Linked DNA regions of Lepisosteus oculatus. The protein of the gene in region 2 purifies or fractionates together with the protein of the main gene of each other region. This does not show direct contact. Links are inferred from orthologs where the notes say so. Each region holds a gene or a part of one and is shown on either strand. Other genes may lie near its edges.

Evidence for each region.
Region 1: the proteins of ppm1kb (region 2) and bckdhb purify together in Homo sapiens (affinity purification with mass spectrometry; 3 studies listed by BioGRID and IntAct, counting the BioPlex papers as one, with this or other methods). This does not show direct contact. The link is inferred for Lepisosteus oculatus from reciprocal best matches to the Homo sapiens genes PPM1K and BCKDHB.

The regions. Positions count from the first base shown.
Region 1 is NC_090697.1:30,785,218-30,797,911, forward strand, and holds the start of bckdhb (2-oxoisovalerate dehydrogenase subunit beta, mitochondrial), read left to right. Parts: upstream 1-6,558; 5' UTR 6,559-6,592; coding exon 6,593-6,791; intron 6,792-7,623; coding exon 7,624-7,701; intron 7,702-10,436; coding exon 10,437-10,505; intron 10,506-12,694. Other genes in the region: dual specificity protein kinase Ttk, read left to right, coding at 2,160-2,245, 2,752-2,829. UniProt on the Homo sapiens protein: Together with BCKDHA forms the heterotetrameric E1 subunit of the mitochondrial branched-chain alpha-ketoacid dehydrogenase (BCKD) complex.
Region 2 is NC_090696.1:72,157,507-72,169,266, forward strand, and holds the start of ppm1kb (protein phosphatase Mn(2+)-dependent 1K), read left to right. Parts: upstream 1-6,559; 5' UTR 6,560-6,746; intron 6,747-10,334; 5' UTR 10,335-10,426; coding exon 10,427-10,863; intron 10,864-11,760. UniProt on the Homo sapiens protein: Serine/threonine-protein phosphatase component of macronutrients metabolism.

The DNA.
Region 1 (12,694 bases), on a different chromosome or scaffold from region 2:
AATGGGTGGGGTTCAGAGAACTTCTTGAACATTTAAGAAGTAAAATGGACAGTGGCAGGTGTTGTATAAATAGGTGAAATCATTTTGTTTCTGAGTTCTTAAAAGCCATTGCTAAATGCTGTTATTACAATTTGAAACATCGTGGAATTTGTAGTTGGGGGGCTAATGGGTTTAAAACATCACATTTCATTGAGTTGTCCATGAATATACTTAATGTTTCAAGTCACTTGCTGTTCTGTGAGTTACTTGTGACCGTGCAGGACCAAGTAATGTTCTAGAAAGTAATACTGGAGATGTTTTGTAATGTTAATTATTAATAATATACACAGGCTATCAAAAGTATTTAGCCCCTTTGGAATTTTGTGCATTGTTACAATATAGAACCATAATGTATTAAATTGGGAGTTTTTGCTATTGATTTGAAAGAAAACACTCTACAGATTATACTACAGATTCTCCTAAGTTAATTATAAAATAGAAAATGACTGAGTATTCACCCCTTTGAGACAATATTTGGTAGAGGCATCCTACCAACTGACACTCATAAGTCTTTTTGAATACGTTTCTACTGGCTTTTTACATTGCAGTTTTTGTCTGTTCTTGTTTGTAAAATTGCTGAAACTCTCTCAGGTTGGATGGGAACTGATGAACAGTAATTTTCAACTCCTGCCAATGACTTTTGATTGGGTTGAGGTCCAGGCTTTGGCTGTATGTTTTGGGCCGTTGTGCTTCTGGATGATGAAGCTTCTTCCCAGTTCCATGTGTGTTGCAGGCTGCAGTAGGCTTTCCTGCAGGATTTCTCTGTACTCTCCTCCTGTCTTCACAACTCTTCCAGGCCCTGATATAGCGAAGCTTCCCCATAACGTAATACTGCCACCATCATGCTTCACAGTAGGGATGCTGCTATGCTTGCGCCAAACATAGTTTACCGTTGAGGTCAAGAAGATTTATTTTGGTCTTGTTAGGCCATAGAATTTTCTCAGTTTCTCCCTCTTGCCTTCTGGCAAAGTAATCAAGGTTTGATGGGAGTTTTTTGTCACTTTCCCATGAAGCTGAAAGTTGTGTAGCACCCAGGCACTTGTCATATGCCCAGTTAATCCCATCTCAGCCATGAAAGACTGTAATTCCTTTAAAGTCGTGACATGGCTCTTGGTGGCCTCTCCGACTAGTGCTCTTCTCACCTGGATACTCAGTTTTTGAGGACACCCCGTTTTTCAGTTTCACAGTTGTACCCTATTTTCTGCATTTGGTATAGTGGTCTTTGCTGTGCTTTGGGGGATATGTACTGCCTTGGAAATTTTCTTGTATCCTTCCCCTGCTTGGTGCTTTTCAATAATCCTATCCCAAAACTATCCCAGTTCTTCTTTGACTGTTCCTTTGTCTTAATGATGTACAGTAGTTTTTGTTGGGTGTTGTACTATTCAACTTTGGGACCTCCCAGTGATAGGTGTATATTTACCCTGAGTTCATGTGAAACAGGTGGGCTCTATTCAACAAATTGTGACTTCTAAAGACACTTGGTTGGACCTGAGCCTATTTAAGTGTATCATAGCAAAGGTGACAAATATTTATGCAATAACTTATGTTCTGTTTTATATTTATAGAATATATTTCTGAAAATATAATTTTTTTCACTTTATTTTGACATTATTGTCAATTATTGTCAATCAATGGCAAATAATCCCATATAAATATATTGTGATTCCTTGTTGTAACACTGTAAGATATAACATCCGGGGGGGTGAATACTTTTGATAGCCACTGTATCACTTGGTATAGGTCACCCTTCCGTAATATCTCAAAAAACTGTATTCTAGAAATTGCTTAAGCCTGGTGCTTTGGATTAGAGCACTGAAACAATCTCTGGAGGCCAATTATGGAAACAAATAATGGACAGATCACATGCTTTCAATACCCTGAGATTTGTAAAAGTGAAATGAATGCATGAAATTCACTTGATTAGACAAACTATAGTTATAAGTCGTATAACTTAAATAGGGTGACTTATTTATGCAGGCAATTTAAAATCTATATTTTAGTCCAAATCTGGACCTTCTGCAATGGATGAAAGCATTTCTTTTTATGAGTTTGGCTGTGCTATTTGTGTATCTAATTACTAGAAACGATGCACAAAATTAACCTTGCTTCATTTTCTACAGTTCAGTTCAACAGTCAAGAACTGAAACAAATCTTCAGCAGTCTTGCAGCTTTAAATTCACCAAACAGCATTTCAAGAGCTGCCAATGTAAGTATTAATGCAAGTTTTAATGACATTTTCAGCTTATACTGACGTCTCAATGGAAGGTGTAAATTAGTTTATCAGTGACATAAAGGACTATAGTATTGTTGACTGTTGGCTTAAAAAGGTTCTAATGGTGTAATTGATATCTCTGTGTAAACTGTTGATTCAAAGGGACTCCGTAGTGATGCAGTACTTTATTAAAAATGACATGCATTGTGAGAAAGTCTCTCACAGATGTAATTAGTCTAGGAGATACATCTGTCTTCAGGGTAAGAGCAAGGACACAGTTCCCAGGAAAACGTGCTGTGTGTTAGTCCAAGAAGAGCAGACTACAGTAGGCTCATTGTATATAACAGTAATTAACCCACGAACAGTTCTTGAGCTTAAAAGTCACACCCCTGAAATGTACATAATGCAATTTTATGGTTAACTTTGCCTCTCCTATATGTAATATAAAACCTGTATGTCAGGGTATTGCAATTAACCTAATAACCTTTTTTTTCTTTTAGAACTTGGCAAAGATGTGCAGCACTGGCAAAAAATTTGACCCGTCTGAATGCGTGAAACCTTCTACTAACTCCTCCTGAGACCAGGATGGCTGTGACCGTTGCGGAAACTTATGAACATTTCTTACATCTTTTCTGTCAGTCAATCATTGCTTTTTTAAATTACACTTCTCAGAACCCTCAACAGGGATCTTATCAGCAGCTCCTCGTTGTTTAGATTTCTGACTACTGCTCTTGGATGTTTCCGTAAAGGTTTTTATTCTCAGTTATGGTGTATTTCTCACATGTGAACACTTTGCTGTACAGTTGTTGGAGATCTACACCCAGAAAGAGCTGGTGTAGGGTTATAAACCATTATAAAACAAGATGTACTCTAATTGACAAACATCCTACATAATCATATTTGGGATATTTAGCTACTTCATCTCACTCGCCATTTTTTGTAAATGCATATGTTAAATAAAACAATGTTCTTTGTAAGCCGCCTGTTATTTTTTCAGGGGGTACCAATTTATACCAGTTTTCCATGTGAAAGCATTTGGCTCAGTTCTTGTATAATTGTGCAAATTGGATAGAAAGCTCAATATAATCATCTTAAGTGTTTATTAATAGTGTATTGTAAGCCTAAATGTACCTTCATAAATGCATTTTAATCCAGTATTGTTCATTAGCAGTATTGTTTAATGGAACAAGTAAAGGTTTATTCCATGCTAAAAAGAGAAAAAAGGAAACAATGTTTTGGCTGAAGAGCCTTCTTCGGGTATGAGGATGTTCTGTAAAATACCGTATTATCATACCAGTTCATAGGTTTGTCACGTTAGAAAACTCAACCACATTTATGCAAATGTGATGCAATTCATGAGATACCAAACATTCTCAAATTAATATGGTAGATAGAATTAGTAAATAAGAAAAGATAAGATGGTCACTAGAGTCCTAATGTCTTAAAACAGTGGACTAACCAGCAGTCATTCCATGAGTAACTAATTCAGAAATCTAGTAAACTGAAAATCGAGATCAGATTGGGTTTCAGGACCACACAAATGGATAAGCAATGACAGACCTTGTTCGTACATGTCTGAGGTCATGGTGTACTGAAGGAGCCTTCAGCTTTTTAGGACCCTGGAAAGCTGTGAAAAAGCTTAGTGTGATGAACATTTTAAATAAATGGATCTACAAAGAAGGTAAATCTATAGAATGGAGAGCAGGGAGTTAAACTGTAAGGACTCTACAGTTAAGTACTTGTATCTAAATGACAGACATGTTCATAAAGATAAATGTAGGAACACAAACTGCTGCATCAGTATATGACTGATGTGAATGATTGCTTGCATTTATATAGCTCTTTTCATTCCAAAAGGCTTCACATGTAAGGGGATCTACTGCATCCATCACTGAATTGCAAAACACTCATCTGGGTATTGCATGACAGCCTGTTTGTGCCAGCAGCCACACTATACAGCAAATAAGGTGGAAATGTGTGACATTATTTTACCAATTGAATTAAGAAGGAAATTTGGTCAGGCTGTGTAAGCCCAAAATGGAATCCCCACTCTGTTTATTTAGAGAATCTTGCTTAACTAAGCAAATAAACTTCTTTTAACAAGCAACAGCAGTAACAGTTTCAAACAGAGCATATACAAATTTGCCACAAGCTCAAGGATATCTAGTCAAATATCCACTCCTGGACGAGTGAAAATCAGATTTTATAGCAGTGTGATTTCCAGATCTTTACTGGAAGCTTGTGCTACTATATGGTACGTTTAGGGAAAACATAACCAAATTAATGAAGAACAAGAAAACAGACTGAGTTATTACGACACATCTTCAAAAATGGATACCTCATTCATGAAATGAGGTTATTGGACACTGGATTAAATTAAGGGGAGAGAGTGGAGCTGTGGATTTATTTAAACTACCTTCTGAAATCTACCACGTAGTGTTTGCCACTCAAGTTTTCTTTTCAGGGGTAAAAGGTTGCATTCTATTTAGCATCAGTTAAGAGGGCAGACTAACTTGTGGAGAACTAAATATTTTAAGAAAATTAGTTTACGTATCCTTATGAAGATAAGGTTTAAGGTTATCACTGTAAAGGATCTAATTGGAAAGGCTAGATGCAATATATTTTGGCTCTAAGATCTCATTTCAATTGTAAATATCAGTTATGTTTTTATGTCTTGTCCGTAGTTCTGTTTAATAAATACTGTACATGTCTTTTAAGCTATTGCTTGTTTATTTCTCCACCATTCAATAAAAATGTTAAGCCTTTTTTTATTAAATTGCTTGTACTGATTCTGGTCCCAGGACCTAGATTTTGAAAAGTCTCATGGTGATATTCTACATAAAATATTAATTTCTAAACTGATAGCTGTAGCCATCATTGAAACTGACTGAGAACAGGTCAACAAACAGCAGTACAGATAAGTGATAAATGTTCAGAGCAGTCTTATTAATAGAATACCCCAGAGATGTGTTTTAGCACCACCGATGCATATCAATGATGTACTGTATCCTGGTATAGAGCAGAATCGTGGTGTGACACTACTGCTGCCTCCCAACTCTTTCAGAGTTCCTATTTCAGTTCTGGAATGAGATGCCTTTTATATTCAGTTGACAGCTCCTTGTGTTTTTTTCCTCTTTCCAATGATATGCTGTTTAGGTTGAGATACACTGCTATCACTATCTGCTATGTAGGGGTGTAACCCTGGTGTCCTGGCCAAATTTCCCATTGGCCCTTACCAATCATGGCCTCCTAATAATCCCCATCTCTGAATTGGCTTCATCACTCTGCTCTCCTCCCCACAGAGCTGGTGTGTGGTGAGCGTTCTGGTGAACAATGGCTGCAGGTGCATCATCCAGGTGGGGCTGCACAATGGTGGTGGTGGAGGGGAGTCCCCATTACCTGTAAAGCACTTTGAGTGCTATATAAGTGTAAGCAATTATTATTATTAATATCACTTCCAGAATGCTGACTCACGTTACCATTAGTATGCAACTTTCTGATGATGGGTGGATTCTGGTATAGATAAAAAAAAACTAGGAGCAGCAAGGGGGTTCAAAATATTAAAATACAGAATATGACTTTATAAAGTTGTCAGGTGATGTAATGTACACAAGTGGAGGCACACGGGTAGGAAAAAAACATCCACATAAAAATGGTAAGCAACTTAAAAGATATTAAAGATATAATGATGTGTTTCAGAAAGACATTGGTGCCGTATACTCAGTGCAAGGAAGAGCGTCAGAGGTGCATTCGCAAGCTTAAAGGCATGTCCTGCACTCACGGGTTAACAACTCAATACATTTAAGTTTCGAACAGAAAATACTATAATGGGGACCTGAATGCATTTAATGTTAGAACCTCACATGCTGCTGATAAGGATCCCTAGAGACGAGCCTTTTTAGGTACTTTTGTTTGGAACCTGAGTTCAAAATCCTTAAAAGTGAAACACAAAGTGGAAATCGAGAAGTAAAATTAAATCTGAGAACAGGGGTTGTTACTTTGCATAAAGGTGACAAATGGCAGGCATCGTGGGCCAGCAGGTTTATTCTGACACTTCTATTACAACTAGTAATAATCCCACCAATACTGTATATCCAATAGATGTATCAAAACCATGAAACACTGGCGATGTCTACTGCCGCACTTCCGCTTGGGTCCAGGGTAACCTTTCGTCCGTTGCATAGATACGCTGGAGCTTGAAAATGACGTTCCATCAGCATTCCCGTGAACCGGTCATCCACGTGTGGGGAGAAAAACCTCCGCCCTCCTTTTCCGCCAACCAGAGCGCAGTATGCCTGGTCCCGCCCTCGGAGGTTGTTTCTCTTCCTGGTTCCAACAACAATGGCGGCCGTGGCTCGGTTCTTGCAGAGAAGTGCAGGCTCTTGCAAAGCCACTATCCACAATATCAACAGTGTTTTGCTCTGCCGATTTGGGGGTGTGTCGCTTAAACTGGTCCCCAGTTGTGATTCCCATTTGAAAATACAGAAACGGCATGCTGCCCACTTCACTTTTCAGGCTGACCCAACACCAACTCAGCATGGTAAGACTAGTTGAGGCGCCCTTGCTCTATTTACATAGAGGACAGACTGTTGGACGCACTAAGTGTTAATGCTATATTCTTTAGGTGGATGCGTTTTAACAGAAGTCAGATATTATTTCTCGTATTATGCAATTTCTTCGAAATAAAACATGCTCGGCTTCAAAGTAATTGTGTCTTAAAATCTATATAGCTCCTGGGAATGACATATCCTAAAGGTTTTAATATTAATTTATGTTTTTTTAAATAAAAATTGCCATTGAGGTCCCATTTTTCACATGATATTGACTTTTTAAACGCTAGCAAGTTGTGAAGCTCCACTAAACAAAGTGAAGTTTCTTTTTAGTGGACAGATATGGAACCTGAAGATTATACCTGAAATTTTACTCGAGAAGACGGTTAAGTAGATAAATATATTTGAAGTACAGAATTCTTGATTTTACTACGCTTTATTTTGCGAAATATTTTTGTTGTGCTGTATTCTCAATCAATCTGATCAATCTGGCATTCAAAACCTCAGCTTCTCTTGAGTTTTAAAAAGGTAAAAAAAATGTTGATCTAAATTATTCCTGTTTTGAAGCAAAAGTAAATGTTGTGGCAATTAAATACTGCACGAGAAGTGTAATGTGTCTTTTTTAAGAACATGAATGACAGCAAATCTTAGTTTTTGCTAGATTTCCTCTGCGGAAATAGCTTATTGATGAATTCATTTAAGTCCCTGAATGTGATCATTAAACATGGTGATTATTCTGAAAAATGTCCTGTTAATTTGGGCAAAGACAATCAGGTATTTTTGATTATTTCTAATGTTATTGTTTTATATTCTTAATTCTAGGTCAGACCCAAAAAATGAATTTTTTCCAATCAATAACGAGTGCCTTGGACAACACCCTTGCCAATGACCCCACTGCAGGTATTGTACAGGATGTGACGGCTCATTTTGCTGAGTTTGCATTAAACTGCTGACTTGCAGATTACCAAGTTAAAGAATGAAACCTAATCAAAATGCTGTATACTTATAAAATGTGCTTTTGTTGTGAACTGAGCTGTATGAAACATGACGTCATTTAACTTTCCCTAAGGCCTGAATCTTAAAAAAGTTTAACTGCTGTTTGTCTCTTTAGTGGTGTATTACTTTGTTTTAGCTTCGACTGGCAAAGTGCACTACTAGAATTCAGTTTTGCAATGATGTTGTGACCGCACAGTACTTAACATATTTGGGTGATTTATGGTACACAACTATTTGTCCTTCATTTAGCATTAGAACTGAATTGATATTTAGCACCTTTGTGTTTTGATCTAGTATTAAAAAAAAGCTGCCTTAGGAATGCATTTACCCCTTACCAATTATAAAACAATCAAATAGAATATTTAAAGCTGTGCAGAAATTTTGAATTTAGGAAGCAAGTCCGCCTAAGATCATAAATTTACAGGAGAGATATTGATTAAAATGTTTCTGCTTTTTATCTCAGCAATTCTATATTCAATCTGTATTAAGCATGACATACAGATAACCAGCGCACAAGTAATTAGATTTTGTTTATAAAAATAGGTAACTTTTGTTATGATTATATTTTTGTCCTAAAACCTACTTCATATTACTACTATGTGGGGACTAGTAAAATAGTTGTAATTTTACACACAGCAGGCATGGTAGCCTAGTATGAATTGTTCAAATGGTCATAATTAAAAAGCAGGACTGGGCCTGAAATGCGACACAAATAGTCGTGAATATTTATTTTTTGTCTCTACTGTGCAATGTGGTTTGACATTTTTGCAGCTTCAACCAATTTGCAAGAATGGTTGCTGATACACGCTGGTCATTATTTTTTTCTGAACCAACAAGATAGACTTATGTTATTACACGATTTGATTTAGAAATTGTAACCTTGGATTAAGATATCTTGTAAACAATTAAAAAATAATATTTGGACAAAAAAGTAGCTAAATATAAGGGAAAATGTGAACTTTGTATTCCAACTACATTCTTGGGACCAGTCCTTCATGAAAGACTGTTTTGCCCCAGTATCATATTTGATGGTGGGGAGTGTACTCACAACCTTTGGAAAATTTGCCAATAAAAGGTTGCCTTTATCACAAGCTAAGTTATCCTGTAGCTTCTATCCAGCATGTTTTGATTATTGTTTAGCACTCTAAGACTTCAATTTGATCGTATAGAATTATAGCCACACCTCATTTTATGTTTGTTTTTATCTGACATGACAGCTTAATTTTACTGACTGTGACAGTGCTTTAAGTCTTAGCAGGGTATTCTGAATGACTGCTCTTTCAGTCATGCTGGATTTTAGCTGGCTGATGAGAAACGGAGTTGGTGCATGTACTCCATTCTCCATAGTGTCTTAATTTGTTCATTGACTGTCTTAATTGATGTGGGTCTGGAGTCCCTGTGAAATGACTATAAGACTGCAAACAGATGATATTTTGTGTATTTTAGATCCTTAAGCATTTTGTGCAAGTGATGAAATTATAGCTCTGTGGTATCAATTGTCCCTCTTTCTAGTCCGGTAATCGTTGCATAGCTGTTGTTAAATGTTACAGCTGTTTGATGTCACATAGTTAAATAAAGTGGCACAGACTGTGTTGAGAAAACCAAGATTCTGTTGTTTAGTGACTTCATCGTCAGAGGCTATGTCAATGATTATTTTTTAAATAGGCACTGGCAACAGTTTTAATTTATCCAGAAGCGTGTGGCTGACATGAAAAGAAAAAAAAAGTTATGCCATCTCATAGTTATGAGAAAATGAGTATTTCTCAGTAGTCCATTATTGCGTACTTTATGTGATAATCACACGATAGCCCACGATTCCCTTGATGTCAGCGATGCAGTTCCAGAAATGTAAGACCTAGTCCAAAACAAAATTCATTGCTTATGTTTGCAGATTTCTAGTGGGAGTAGGAATAGTTGAATGTTCCAAGAGCACATTAATTCATGATTTTACTTTCAGGTAGGGGTTGTTCCTTCTATTGCTTGAGATAAGCTATCATTTGCTTAAGATATCATTAGCTATTGTATATAGAAAATTACTTCAAAGAGCAGTTTGGTCTAGAGGTTGTGAGGATTTATATAACCATAACCATCACAGTTATCTCACTCAGGCAAAATAAAATTGGATGTTTCCCAAATGCTCCTCTTTACAAATTCCTTTGCCACTTAGCAATGCTTAATTACTTTTAAAATCACTGATGAAAAGGGTCGTTTTTCTGACAGGAATAGTTTGATGTTTCTTTCTCCAGTTTGGTTTATAAGATAGACAATGTTTTGTCAAATTAAATGACAGTTCTATATTGTTTATGTTTACAGTGTGAATACTCTGCTACTGCGTTTTTATTTCTTAGTTACACATTGAAAGGGTATTGCCATTTTGTAGATTTATTCATAAAATAAAATGTGCTATTTATGAACAGAAATCACTTTGGATCTTGTCTGAATGCAGGTGGATGGTAACCACTAAAAGCCTTATGGGCTTATCGGTTCAGGTTTTGTGGAGGGTCTCTAAACACTAAGAATCAAATAAGTGTGGCAGAAGGTTTACTTTGTTGCTGAATTTTATGTAAATTTACAATTTTGCCTACTTTACTACTCTCTACCATACAGTTCTAATGTGTGTTCATTTTTTTGCTTTTCAGTCATCTTTGGAGAAGATGTTGCTTTTGGAGGTGTCTTCAGATGCACTGTTGGTTTGCGAGATAAATACGGTATGTATTTTCGAAGTAAGATGCTGCAATTTGTGTCATCTAATTTCTAGTGCTTTTTTTGACAGTGAATGTACTGTATAAACTATAAACCAAAGTATACAAAAACTATTTTGCACTGCACTCTGGTTTATTTTTTTGATGCTTTAAGTTCAAGACTTGTGGCAGTTTGAGACAGTTGTGTCTCTATGAAGTTGGTTTTGAGATGTGTGCCATTTTTCCTTCAGCTGGTAAAATTTAATTGTATATAGATCAACAAACGCTGTTTCTTTCTTCTATTTGTACAGTAGTGATTACATGATCATTTTCTCCTAGATATACTGTATTTTTAAAAATCAATACATTTCTCACTGTATCCACACCCCATCAAGAAAATAGTACCCATTATCTCAACAACTGCATTTCTGAAAAATGAGTTGTTGAGTTTTATGACCTTATGATGGTTTTCTGAAAGTATGTGTTGAGCCTATTCATAATTGGATCACTTATTCCCCAGATAGTTTCAGATACATAAGTGGTAATTGCAGTGGCAATTACGACCCTGTTATTTGAGAACCCCTGATCTGGAATTGAACCCAGGGCACCAGTGCTTACCACTGCATCACCCTGTAACCTTTCTTGTGTTCTTAGATTTATTTTATGTCTTCTTTATGTAGCCTTTTTTATTCAGGAATGTTTAAGCAACAGTTATTGTCCTAAAAATTAAGTTATTACATATCATATATATTTATATTATTAAGATAAGATCACTTTATTAGCCATATACAATTTCTTGCATTAGGAATTTGTTTTTTTTGCATACCACAGTTTATTCTCCATGAGACACACAGGCACACAGATGGGGAGAGAAGCTTGGGGTCAGAGCGCAGGGTCAGCCATTTATACAGCACCCCTGGAGCACCTGGGGTTAAGGGCCTTGCTCAGGGGCCCAACAGAGTAGGATTCCTCTGCTGGCCACGGGATTTGAACCGGCAACCTCCCAGCTCCTTAGCCAAAGCGCCTATTGTGGTTTTAACATGATCAACCGGGATCATCAATCATGGAAACAGACAAAACGTTCAGTTCACACATCCGTTGTAAATGTATGCAAAATATAGTGACAGTTTTGAGTTATATGCTTCCTTAAAAACTGCATAATCTCAAATGTGTCAAATTATGAAGTTAGATTATACACTTTTTCCTGTGAGTTTTCAAGCACGTTAAACTCACTAGATTGCCTTGATGGTTACATCAAACAAATTAAATTCCATACGCTGTTCACTGAAACAGCAGACAGTTGAATAGTCTTTTATTTGATCATTCATCTTTAGTGTTATTAATATGTGTTTCTTTTTACATGTATCTAAGCGCATATTAAATTGGAGCTTTTATTTTAATAATGAAATAAAATTTATAGTGCTGATATAGCAGGTGAAGAAAGAAATGAAGACAACTTAACCACAAAATACTGCTACTGTATCTTGAGACTATTTTTGATTTTCAAGCCAGAACTAAGGTTTCAATAAAAGTCTCAATTTTAATTTTTCAAGACACTTCATAGTATCTTGGATGATCAATTTAACATGCATTTGGCATTAGTCACAGCTTTGGTTTCTTAACTGCATGGTTTACAGAATATTAATATGAACAAGGTTTGGTAAGTTGGCACAGATTGAACTAAAGTTAATAGGGAAGTTTTTTTTTTCTTTTAATGTTAATTCACACATCTTTGATTGATTTTGCTCAGGCTTTCTTTATTACAAAGAATTCCTTCTCACTAAGTGTGTAGTCTGAGCTGTGCTACTTATTTTGTAGACTTGCTACTGTAATATAAAGCAAATAAATGTATAACATTGTGAGAAACTGCAATAAAAATATGCCAATAATGTCAAAAACTGTGCAGAATTATGCACTTGGTCCTAAAGAACCTTGATGTTTGAACAGTGTTTCTAGCCTTTTTTTGTCCAGTTGTTACCCAGTTGCCCTAGCTCATTAAAATCGCTAAATGTTGAAACTGGCACTAGGTGGCAGAGCATCACTGTGTTTTCAGTGCTGCAGTATGGGGAAAGTGCAGATTGTGACAAAGGCCTATAAGTGTCTGAGGGGAGAAAGGATTGCTCTTAAAGAATTTTTAGGATTGAGGGTTTCTTAATGGCAACACTGTTTCAGGTAATGAATGATGAATGAAGATTAAAAGCAAGATATCTGTTGTA
Region 2 (11,760 bases):
TTCCTCGCCATTAAATCTAAGTGATAGTGACATAAAAGACAGACTGGCGCAGAAAACGAGGCTTTTCTACGGATCTTTAGATGACATTTTTAAATACGATGATTTAAATTGATGCAGCCTAAACGTATGTTCAAATATGGAGAAGTTTTTTTAGTTTTTTTTGGCACAATGCCATTTCTTCTATATTAATATTCTGTGATAAAAGCATTGTTAGTAAACTACATTTGCGAGTTCAGATCGGGTGAATCACCAATGAAGAGATTTCTAGAGTCTAAAATGTTTCTTTATCTCAATTGTCCCTTCAAATTATGTCTTCGTTCTCCACTAAAATGTTTCAGTTCTAATAGTTTTTCGAAATTTCTGGAGTCTGTGCAGTCTAATGATTCAAAGTAAATCAAGAAAATATCTCAAAGGAATAGTTCCATATCTGCCAGTCACACAATGTTGTTCAACTTGTAAATTAACCGCGAGAAGTTGTGACGTTTCTTGTTCAATCTAGCTTTATTTTAAATAATGGGAAAAAATCCTAGCCTTTTGGAAATGTTGATGTCCTCACAAGAAACAATAATCATCTTAAATGTTGAATAACAAGGTTTAATTTGAAATATGACACGGTGTATGTTTGATTGATCTTTTGGGCTTTTAGAAATCAGTATATAAAAATTGCGCAACTTTTAGCTTCTAGCCCGATACGGTACCAATGACGGTATTTAGCCATTTATTTAGCAAAGTATTATTTTATCATTTAAAATTGATCAAAACGTGTCGCAGAACATCAAGTTTAAAAATATCTTTAGATAAAACACTAAATACGCGTGTCCAAATAAAATGTAATGTTTTCTGTATTGAGTTAATTGAGTTAATCATATTAGAAATGTTCTTCTTACATGCATGTATTTATGCCAGAATGCTTTTGGAAAATTACGCTATCTACACTCAAGAATAAATGATAATAAGAACCCTAATTAAATTATTTATATATGCAGTTAAATACATTTAAAACATTAGACACGTAATGAGCTTCATTTTTATAGAAATCTTTTGCAGTATTTGACTATGGTTTTCAATATGTTCTAAAGATCGTATTTTATATTTTAGATATAGAAAACATTTTTTTTTAAATAATGACTTTTGTATTAAATGGATAAATCTGAATGTGTATATCGAACGAAACATCCAGAGGGCACAAAAAAAATCCAATAATGTCCAAAATGGTATTTGAGTATCAAGTGGACACGCGTACATTGTTTGGTCAAATTTAAATAGCTGAATAATCGCGATTCTCTGAAATTCCCAGGAGATATGCACAGAAATATCTTCCTCCCAGATTTTGGTGTTTTTCCTTTGCCCCAAATCAGTCTGGCCTGATACAAGTGCTAGATAAAGCACGGGTCCTAATTAATATATTCACATGTATTGATCCGCTAATTTCTGGGAGGTCTGTGTTATCGAGCAAATAATGTCTTCACCTCGTGTATTAAACATACATATTTATTAGACACCTTTATTATGATTAGTGAACAATTGCTAAATAAACTTTGAAGTGCTAGATTATTTTCAGACAAGATTATACTTACGCACTAATCCCATTCAATAATAAATCAAGATTTATTGTATTTCTTTTTGGGGTTAGGGTTAGTTTAATTTTAGAAAAATGTTTCATGTCTGAAAATGTTTTCAATGTTTCAAAAAATGTTGCTCTGGAGAGCAGCGCCACCCTGTGGCCCTTTTAGGAAGTGCTGTTGGACCTGAATGTAGTGCTGTTGCCGTTGGAAATCATTTGTATGATCTTCCTCACCCCACCTTTCTTTAACGAGGCCTTTTATTTACCTGCTTATTTGTTTAAACACTTTGTTCGGCCGAGTCCTCGGCTTCGACATTTCCCCTGATTCAAACGTGTATTGTTCTGCAAACAGAACTTCTCTCCTTGGCGTGTTTATTTAGAGTTTGCAAGCCTCGTTTCTGTCTAAACAGCACTGAACAGTTCATCGAGTTAGGGAGAATCAGATACAGGTGGCCACGACAATGTATCACACAGACATCGCTTTTCTTTTTCATTCCGCAGAGGTACGACGGGTTACATTTCAAGCTCAAGTTAACACACAACAGAGCGAGAGAAGTTGTGATCCTCACAAATGGATACGGGATCGATTCCAATGACAAATCCCACTCACCCTTAAAAATACCTCTGACAGTCAATCTGAGTCTGTTAGGCTGCGGTTTAGACCTTGGATGTAACACAAGCTGGTGGAAACAGGGGTACCTTAGGACCAAGGTCATGAGCCACTGTCAAAAAGGGTCAGTTGCGATGAACATGAGAATATATTGCAGAGCTACACACCAGTATGCTGGTTGCAATTGACACGGAAACATTTTTAGTATTTACACAATACTAAAGAGTTTATTTAACAAGAGTCTGACATTTGAACCATGCCAGTTACTTAATTCATGCCCAACCCCCCAGACTGGGGACCTATTGTGCATATCTGGAATTAGTTGGGAAAACATTTAGCCAATGCCAGGTACTGGCTTGTCCAGAACCTATGAGAGCAATGAGACAGAGCCACACAAGTGTCTGCAAACTGCTACGAAGCATGTGGGCAAGCAGCTTGTGTTGCCTGAACCATGAACTCTCAGCTCCCTAGCTTGTGACTTTCACAGCTGAGCCCTGCTGATCAGCACTGTTGATGAGAAATGTTGATTAGTAGCATGAATGTATCTCAGTCACGTCTGTTCGAGGAAATGTCCGCGTACCTGCTACAAAACCAGATGGCCATTTCCCTGATAAGAACTTTGTGAATCTGTTGCTACTGTAATTAATTTATCTTTTGATATTCTGCATATACATAGTAAAACCTTATGAGGGAATCATGTAAATCGCTGAAGTCAAACCAATGTTAAAAACAGGATCCTGACACCTGCTTGTCTAGAATGCAAATTAAGGAAGGACACTGGCACCTCCGCCCACAGTCTTGAATGACTCAGATTGTGGCCACCGCATTTCTTTGTTTCTGGTGGTTAAATAAAGGAAAAATAACTTAAAACACAAAGCTTTTTACAACAACTACAAACTTAACTCAAAATGAAAGACACACATTATTGATCTACAATTGTTTACAAAGATCAATTTGAGAATCTATTCTCAATTGTCCTCTCAATTTTCATACGAACAATATAAAGACCAATTTTAATACAAACTAACCAAGATTCTCCGATAACAAAAGAAGCTTCATAGGACAGTCTCAACTCTAAAACCAAAGTGAACTAAATCGAGACAACTCCTCTAAACCAGCTAAGGCAGTCTAGAAATAATTAGCTCTTCCTGATGGCTGCTAAAAGGAAATAAATATACAAACACAAACATTAATAGCTGGAGATAGTAGTAAAGGTGAAACAGCAGTTTCACTGTGGCTGCTGACTTTAAATGTTACAAAGCGGAATTAGTGGTCTGACAGTTCTGCTTTTTAATGTTGTGTAATATCTAGAGCTCATGTATATTCAAATATAACAATTATATTTCTATTCAATATACAATTATGTTTAGATTAAATTCAAAATCCCTGTTTATATATATATATATGAATCTAGGTTTTTCTCAGTCATATACACCACATTGTGATTTTATGGTGTCTAACCTTTATCTAGTCCTCACCAAGCCTTAACAATAGTTTTATCTAATCTCATGTGACAGATAACACACACATTTTACTTTAATGTCATTATTTATTAAACAAAAAACTGCCAACATTCAATATACTTGTGTGAAACACTACGTGCACCTTTACTGGATCCATATCAGGGAGTGCTTCCACCAAAGAAACCTTGTCAGTATGGTATGGAAATAACACACAGCTGTCATGAATGTGTTGTTGTTGAAGCCAGTACCTAGACATCTTTCAAGAAACTGGTGTGACTGCTGAGATTCATGTGATAAATATATTTGCCTAGGAAGGTAAACAGTGAGACAATATCATGAATAAGAAAATAATAAATGTATTGTAAAAATACATTGGACAATATGTATACATGTACTTAATTAATTACAAAAATGCTTCAGAATTTCCTAAGGCTTTTACCAAAAGATACATCAGGGTATCTGCTTTACAGTACATAGCATCATGTCATGATTCAGGAAAGTATTCAAATCTGCACCAAGGAAAGTATTCAATCTCCAACTCAGAGTGTTTTTTTTTTACTATGATCTCACCACAGTCTCTTCATATTCTTGCCTGTGTTTGGGCATTTTTCAGGTATGGAACAACCATTAGCAAATCTTTCTTCTGTCCCACCAAAGCATAGCCAAGTCATGCTTCACATGTGATGCAGACTCATTGCTCGTTATTAAACGATAGAACATAAAACAGGATGAAAAGAGGCCATTCGGGCCATGTAGCCTGTATGGTAATTAGTAATTAATTGATTCAAGGATCTCATCCAGCCAATTCTTAAAGTAAGCCAGAGCATCGGCTTCAACAAAATTGCTGGGTAGCTTGTTCCATACTCCACCAACCAGTTTTGGGACTGACAGTGATCTCAAGGGGGGTGAGACTAAGTTTTGGATACTTTCAGCCTTCAGTAAGAATGCAGGAAATATACTCCATAAGGAAGCTGAAGAGGAAGAACCCGAGTTTTGAAAAAAAAAAACTCCTTTCAAATAAAATGTAGGTAGAAAGGGATTCTGGACATTTTTTCCAACCTCAGAGATCACTTTAAACCAGATTTCATAAAAAAAATATTCTGTGTTCTCTGCTTTCAAAAATGTCATGACAGCACAGTACTTGAGTTCCTCTTTTTTCACATCCTTAATGGTACAACACAAAATGTCTGACTATGAAACACAAAAGTCTTAATTAAGGAAAACGATCAATCTACAGACCAAAGGAGTTTGAGGAGAGTTTGTAGTAAACTATTTTATAGTTTAAATGCAACAGTATGTTCCTCTGTCTTTGACACAAAATGGAAGAAGAGATATAGGCCTGTAATTACAGGACACTCTAGATTCCAAACTGTACCTTTTTAACAAAGCTTTAATGGCAGCCCTTTTAAATACTGTTCATACACAACACAGGAAGTACAGATGTAACCGTGAAATCGACTGTGAAAATTTACACCTATACAACTGCCTTTGTAATTCCTATTGAAATACATACTCTGCTGCTTAAAGCAGTTATCTGACCAAGACAGGTCAGATCTTGGGAAGGTAAGGTTTCCTCATGAAATTCCAATATTACAAATGATGGTAAACATTTACAATGGTTGCAGTTTATAGATGCACTGATTTACCATCTATGTTTTACCACATTATTTAAATATGTTACCAAGACACTGACCTTAAAGTACTTAACAGGTTCTGTTATACATTGTACCGCTAGAGGGCATTATACACTAAATCTAACTACGCAATGGTGTTAAGGGCAACGTTTTATAAACTACTGAGCGTTTAATCTTATCTCAGATTGGGTTTCTGAGAAAATACAATTCCCTGTATGTAAAAAGCATGCTCTGCATATAAATAATGCTGTTTAATTAAGTATTATTTTCTTAATCCTTTATTATCATCTTGATGGCAGTAGATCAGTCATTTAAATACGTGCAATAAAGTTTTTATTTTGACATTTAGTTTTGCAAGCTAATCTTTCTGAGTAGGACTGATCAGCACTGATCAAGGAACTCAGAAGGTGCCGTTTGTTTCCTGTACATATTGTCTTCAACGTTACTGAACAAATAAGTTAAAATATTTTGTCACACCTTTTCTAGGACAGTGACAGAGGTCCCCTAATTTAGACTTTGGAAGCGGAGCCTCACTACAATAATACCGAAATCAATACAGACGTGTACCCCTCGGAAAGAAACGGAGAAGTCAAACTTTAACCTAGCAAAGACATTCAGCCCAAACAGACGTCACCGGCGGAGCTTAACACTCAATTATTGGTCTCCAGTCGGACAAATCAGAATCAGAGATTTCCTACAACGCCCACTGCAGTTTAAGGCCTGGTTTCTGTAAATCAGAGGAGAGATGCGCTATGTTCCTTGGTTTGTCAGGCTATCAGATAAAAAAAGAGCAAAGCTAACATCGATATAATTGCACCACAATTCTGCATTGAGTAATATGTGTAATTGCACACAATAAATCGATAGAAAAAGTGTCTTTCCTGAGATTTTTTTATTTTCACGAGGCTTTCATTAAAACGTAATTCGCGGACAAATGAGACATGTCTTTGCACCAGCCACTCGGCCAGCATGTCGCCAAGTCTTTCTGGACATTGGGCGTTGAGGAGGAATATATCAATATCTCGCACCGCACACTTCACATTCTCCCTCATTTATCTCTCCATCATTCACATGAAACAGGACGGCAGCCCCGCCGCTAAGCCGGCGTCATGTAGGATAAATGTCTTGTTTCTCTTTTTCTCCCGGCGCGTTTTTGAGGCTGATTGGGCCTTCGACATGACAATCACCGCTACGTCCCGCCTCCCGGGGGAATGACCAGGCCCGGCGATTGGCTGTCCTCGGTCGGCGCCGGGCTCCGATTGGCGGATCACGACGTCAGTGAAGCAGCAGCTTGGTCGAGCCCCCTTCAGTAATCGACAATCTGCCACATTGTAATTGAAAGGAGTACAGTGCGCATCCTGCGATTGTTCGCTATTGCAGCAATCGCCACGGACCGGGAGTACAGTTATCCATACTACTACTAATAATACTATCATCACCCAGGGGTGCGAGGAGGCTGCTTCTCAGAGACCAAGGTAAGGGGGCCGTGTTTCTGCGGAAATGCCAACCTGCAAACCGTGAGCTGGGCGGCGAAGCCTAGATCTTGGAAAAGGGGGCTGAGCGGAGCTTGAGACGACGGCTAGTGTTTTGCATGCCTCTGGTGATCAGACAAGGGGGGCAAAAAATTGGGATCGATCCCAATTTTGCTGGGGTTTTGTTTACGAAAAATGAGCGGCCTCACAGCCGATGCGTGGAGGAATGGCACATATTGATTCATGTTCGGGCTCCACATCGAGACTGCGTAATGCCGCTTGAGGCGCCACTGAAGTGTTGCGTCACTTACCTAAACTAAGTCAAGGACGTCTTTGCGCACAGGTCATTCAGAAATCTTGACAAACGTCCCCCCCCAAAAAAAAGAAAACGGGAGTCGTAAATGTCTGTTTTCTTAGACCTGGCCTCAGCCCAGAACAGAAATTGGATCAAATTGATTGGACGGAACCAAAATAGTTCCTCTGACGAAATGGCATTTAGGGTAGGGTGACCATGTTTTGGTTTTCAAAAAAGAGGACGGGGGGATAATCGACACTCGACACATGCCTCCAAAGTAATGCATTTTTCTTACTTTTTCTAATTAAAAAAATCCATTTAAACTATCTTTTTTTAATTATTTAACTTCTTAGTAAACTTTTAAACAGTTGCAGGGTTGCTATTTCTTTTCCTTAATGGCAAACAAGAAACAAAAAACAAAAATACAGTATATTATAGCCATTATAGCCCTATTTTAAACTTTTTTTTTCATTTGAACACAACAAAAGTCTTAACACCAGAGGAAAAAATGAAGACATCACAATTTAGGAGAAGTCTTCATTGGCTGCAAAAAATGATCAGTTTTAACGAAACATTTTGAAATATAATGAAACACGTTAAACATTGTTATTTTTCATGGCCATAAAAACACCCCCCCCCAAACACACAAAAGCCCCTTTCAAGCCACCCTGTGTGTAAGTTCAAAACATCTGCCGGTACTGCATGGAACGAAGGAAAATATGTAGGCTGTGTTTGTTTAGAGTCTGATTAACGAGCAAAACACAATCCCGGACAATTGTTGGAATTGTATAAACCCCGGTCTCAAAAAGTGGACATGTCCGGTGTAAAGAGGACGTCTGGTCACCCTTATTTATGGTCAAATGGTGGATGCAACCCGGTGCATTATCATCACTAGAAGAACCGACTCGTTTACGTTTAATCGTTCGTGGATTGGATTAGTTTTATTTAAAATATCAAGATTGGGAGGATCTACGTTTTTAATACGTTTTAATGGACCAAACGTCTCGGTATTTTTCCCCCCCGAGGTGTAGTTTTGGTTGACATTTTGCCATGGTGGCCGAGTGCTGATAATCTCCGCCCTTCAACAGTTCTCTCAGAAATAATGTTTTTAGTTGATAAATTTATACCGGTGTCGAAACCAATTCAGTGGTCTTTAGGTAATCTGCGGAGCGCTGTGCCTGCTGATTTTCCTTCTAGTTGAGCTCTTAATTACCAGTGCTAATTGATTAATTGATCTGTTTGCTTGTTTAGACTGTTTACTTGTTTTTTTCACTCGGCTCAGAGTACAAGGACACGGTTTTCAGTAGCGTCAGCATACAGACCTTAAAATCAGTCCCCCCTGCAGAGACTGAACAGCTGTGAATGTAAAGTGATCAGTTCATGAGAATCTGACCCAAAAGGTTGGTGCTATATCAAACTGTCCCATGATGAGCTTTTTGTTGTGTCTCGCAGAGGTGATAGATACAAAACACACTTCAGATTAACCACAGAAACTTGGAGACACCAGTTCTCTAGGACCAAGGTTGAAAGTTTCTGTATTTGATGTATGAGATTCAGCCAGTTTGCTCATTTGTACTCAGAGCACGGATTTGCCTGTTTTTAGTTAATGATTATAGAGCATCTATTGTGTTCTCGGAGAGAAAAGGCATTTGAGTTTGCAGTTGAAACAGATTTGGCTGTTTACTGAACCGTCTGTGTTTTATTCCTTCTGCTGCTGTGTTGCTCAAGTAACACAGTGAACGAGTGAAGTTTAGACTTAATCCACAGCGTAGAAACATAGAAACTGATATTCGCGTCACATGTCTAATGTCCTCAAACAGTCCACAAGAAGGGATGATATCCAGCTGGATACTGCTGCACTCCCCTGGAACAAAGCTTTTCAATCTGACTGCTTCAGTAAAAGGCCCAATCGTGCAAATTTCTGCAAATACTAAATCACTTTGTGTAGAGGCATCAGCCAAATGAATAATAAGCGCAGCATAAACGCAAATAGAGCTCGCTTATCTCATGCCCGTTTTTTGTAGCTTGTTTTACCTTCATAACGCGTCGGTCCCAGGTTCTTGTGTGCAGCCTTTGTTTCTCAAGCTTCTTGTTAAAGAAGGGATAGCTCTAAATGGAATCCCACTCCCATAACATCAGTCTGTAGCCAGGGCGTGACGAAGTCTGGTGTACTCCACGAATATCAAAAATATTTCTAAAACCCCACGCAGCATCAGTGGTACTGCAGGTGGCCTTTAAATCTACTGTGTACAGAAGTCAGTCTGCTGCACCTTTCTCTGCTGTGAAGACAAGCTGCGTTGAAAGTAGAGTTGTCTTCAAGGCCTTGCCGATAAGGGAACCACTCGTATGTACCCCAATATTTACGAGCAGAAGCATGTATATGGTTTTATTTTATGAGAATGGTCAGGTCTCATGATGAGAGTAAAGCTGGGATTTACTCAAACCTACAGTACCTTGCTACAAGGTACCTGTGCCAGGCTAGCAACAACCCTGTGGGCCACACGAACAGATTTAAATCTTTGCAGAAAAGTAAGAATTAGAAACCAAACTGTAAATATAACAGTATATAAACTGTCTGATATTTCTTTTCATAATTGAATGCCTATGAAAGAACTTTCCGGGCTTCTTTTTGTAGAAATATAGATGCCATATGTGAGACCTCAACACAGTTATTCCCTTCCAGTCTGAATCTATTCAGAAACAAGTCTCAGGCATTAAACTTTCTTTGAAGGCAGAATTCCTATACAGGTGTGAGTGATGCACTGTTTTCTTTTCTTTTATCAGTAGACTGTTACGGCCGTTGGGTGTGTTAGTGAACTGTGGGAAATTTGGATGATCTGGCACGTGTGGATGATGAGTGATCTTGCAGCAGATGTGTGTGGCTTTCAACCTTGGGTACATTTCTGCCTTCTTCGGCACGGAAATTGTACCACTTCCCGCTGGGCGAGGTTTCTGTAGGGCTGCAGTCAGAGGCTCGTGTGCTTTTCCTGCCAGCCCCCGCCTTCACGGCAGTAGTACGCCGTCGCGGAGGAGCGGTCTTTGATTGTATATAAACAAACGAATCATGTGGGCCTTTAAACCAGTGTGATTCCTTAGAGTCGTCGGTCTTTCCGGGGAGATTACAGCCTGCACTGGCGTTTTTCCCAGTGATTCAGCCGGTGTGCCTGATGGAAAATTCCAGCTGGTGTACGGCCTGCCGGGGGATTTTGATCAATTTTTCATTTAGACCAGCGAATCGTGGCCAGTGAGCATAACTGTCCCCCTTTTGCCTCTCCCTTTTCTCCCCTTTCTTTCAGTGCGCCCTTGAAAGCGTCGCAGGAAGCGCGACACCCGTGGGAGAGCAGAATCGCGGTTTCGCCTTCCGCTCTGTCCCGCGCGGAGCCGAGTGATGTCAGTAGGCGCACTGATCAATCTGCTCAGGCCCGGCGGATTGCAAGTGCGGAGCCGGGCGCTGTTGACGACGTCCAGGCGCCTGCAGGAGGACAGGCATCACTTCCACTGCGTTTCCCCCGCCAGGCTCAGCAATTCCAGGTTCGACCCGGATGGCAGCGGCCGCCCCACCACCTGGGATGCCTTCGGGATCTGGGATAACCGGATCGACGAGCCCATCCTGATGCCCTCCAGCATCAAATACGGCAAGCCCATCCCCAAAGTGAGCGTGTCCAAGGTGGGCTGTGCCTCGCAGATTGGCAAGCGCAGGGAGAATGAGGACCGCTTCCAGGTGTCGCAGATGACCGAGAACGTTCTCTATTTCGCAGTGTATGATGGGCATGGGGGGCCAGTGGCTGCCGACTTCTGCAACAAGTTCATGGAGAAATACATCCAGTAGGTCTCCTACGCTGACGCGCCTTCTTGATTGTTTTTTTTTGTCCCCTCCTTCATTTAATTTTGGTGTCCTCGTACGTTTCCTCTTCAACGTGAATCAGCAGGAGCAGATGTGTCGCTGATTGCTGTTCTAGTCCTCCCCGTCGCGTGAAACCTGAGCTTTGTTAGTGGGCCTGAAGGAAGGTTCCTGAGAGATGGTTAAAAGAGGAAAAGCAATACAGTGTAGGTCGCACCACTTTTTCCTATAATGAGCATCAGAGTCAAAGTGAAGCCCAGTTCCAGGCAGCTGTCTTGTTTGGAATTTGTCTTGCAGTATGTGTGTTACTATTCTACACAGACACAGTGTGTGTGAGAGTGTGGTACTGCTCCTCACAGACACAGTGTGTGTGAGAGTGTGGTACTGCTCCTCACAGACACAGTGTGTGTGAGAGTGTGGTACTGCTCCTCACAGACACAGTGTGTGTGAGAGTGTGGTACTGCTCCTCACAGACACAATGTGTGTGAGTTTTGTCTTGCTTGTATTGCTCTTACATGCAGTATTTTACTGTGTTCTCATCCCACTGGTGTAGGTGTAGGTGGTGTACTCCCATAGAGTTGTGCAATGCGCTTGGACAGTTTCATTTCTGACTGGTAGAAAAGATTAGTTCAGTCTTAGGGCACATGACCATTCCACCTGAGATTTTAGACATTTTTCTTAACCAGTACTTATATATATATATTCCAAGATAATCTAGAAAGACAGGGCAATGCAAAACATTGTAGAAGAGATTTAAGATGTGTGTGGCTCAGGCTAGGGCTCAGAGATTGGTGAACGGATTCACTCCATGCTTGTGCAGGCTGTGTGAGAGGAATGGAACAGTATTCTACAAGAAAGGGCAACCTGCTGCCAGAAGCATT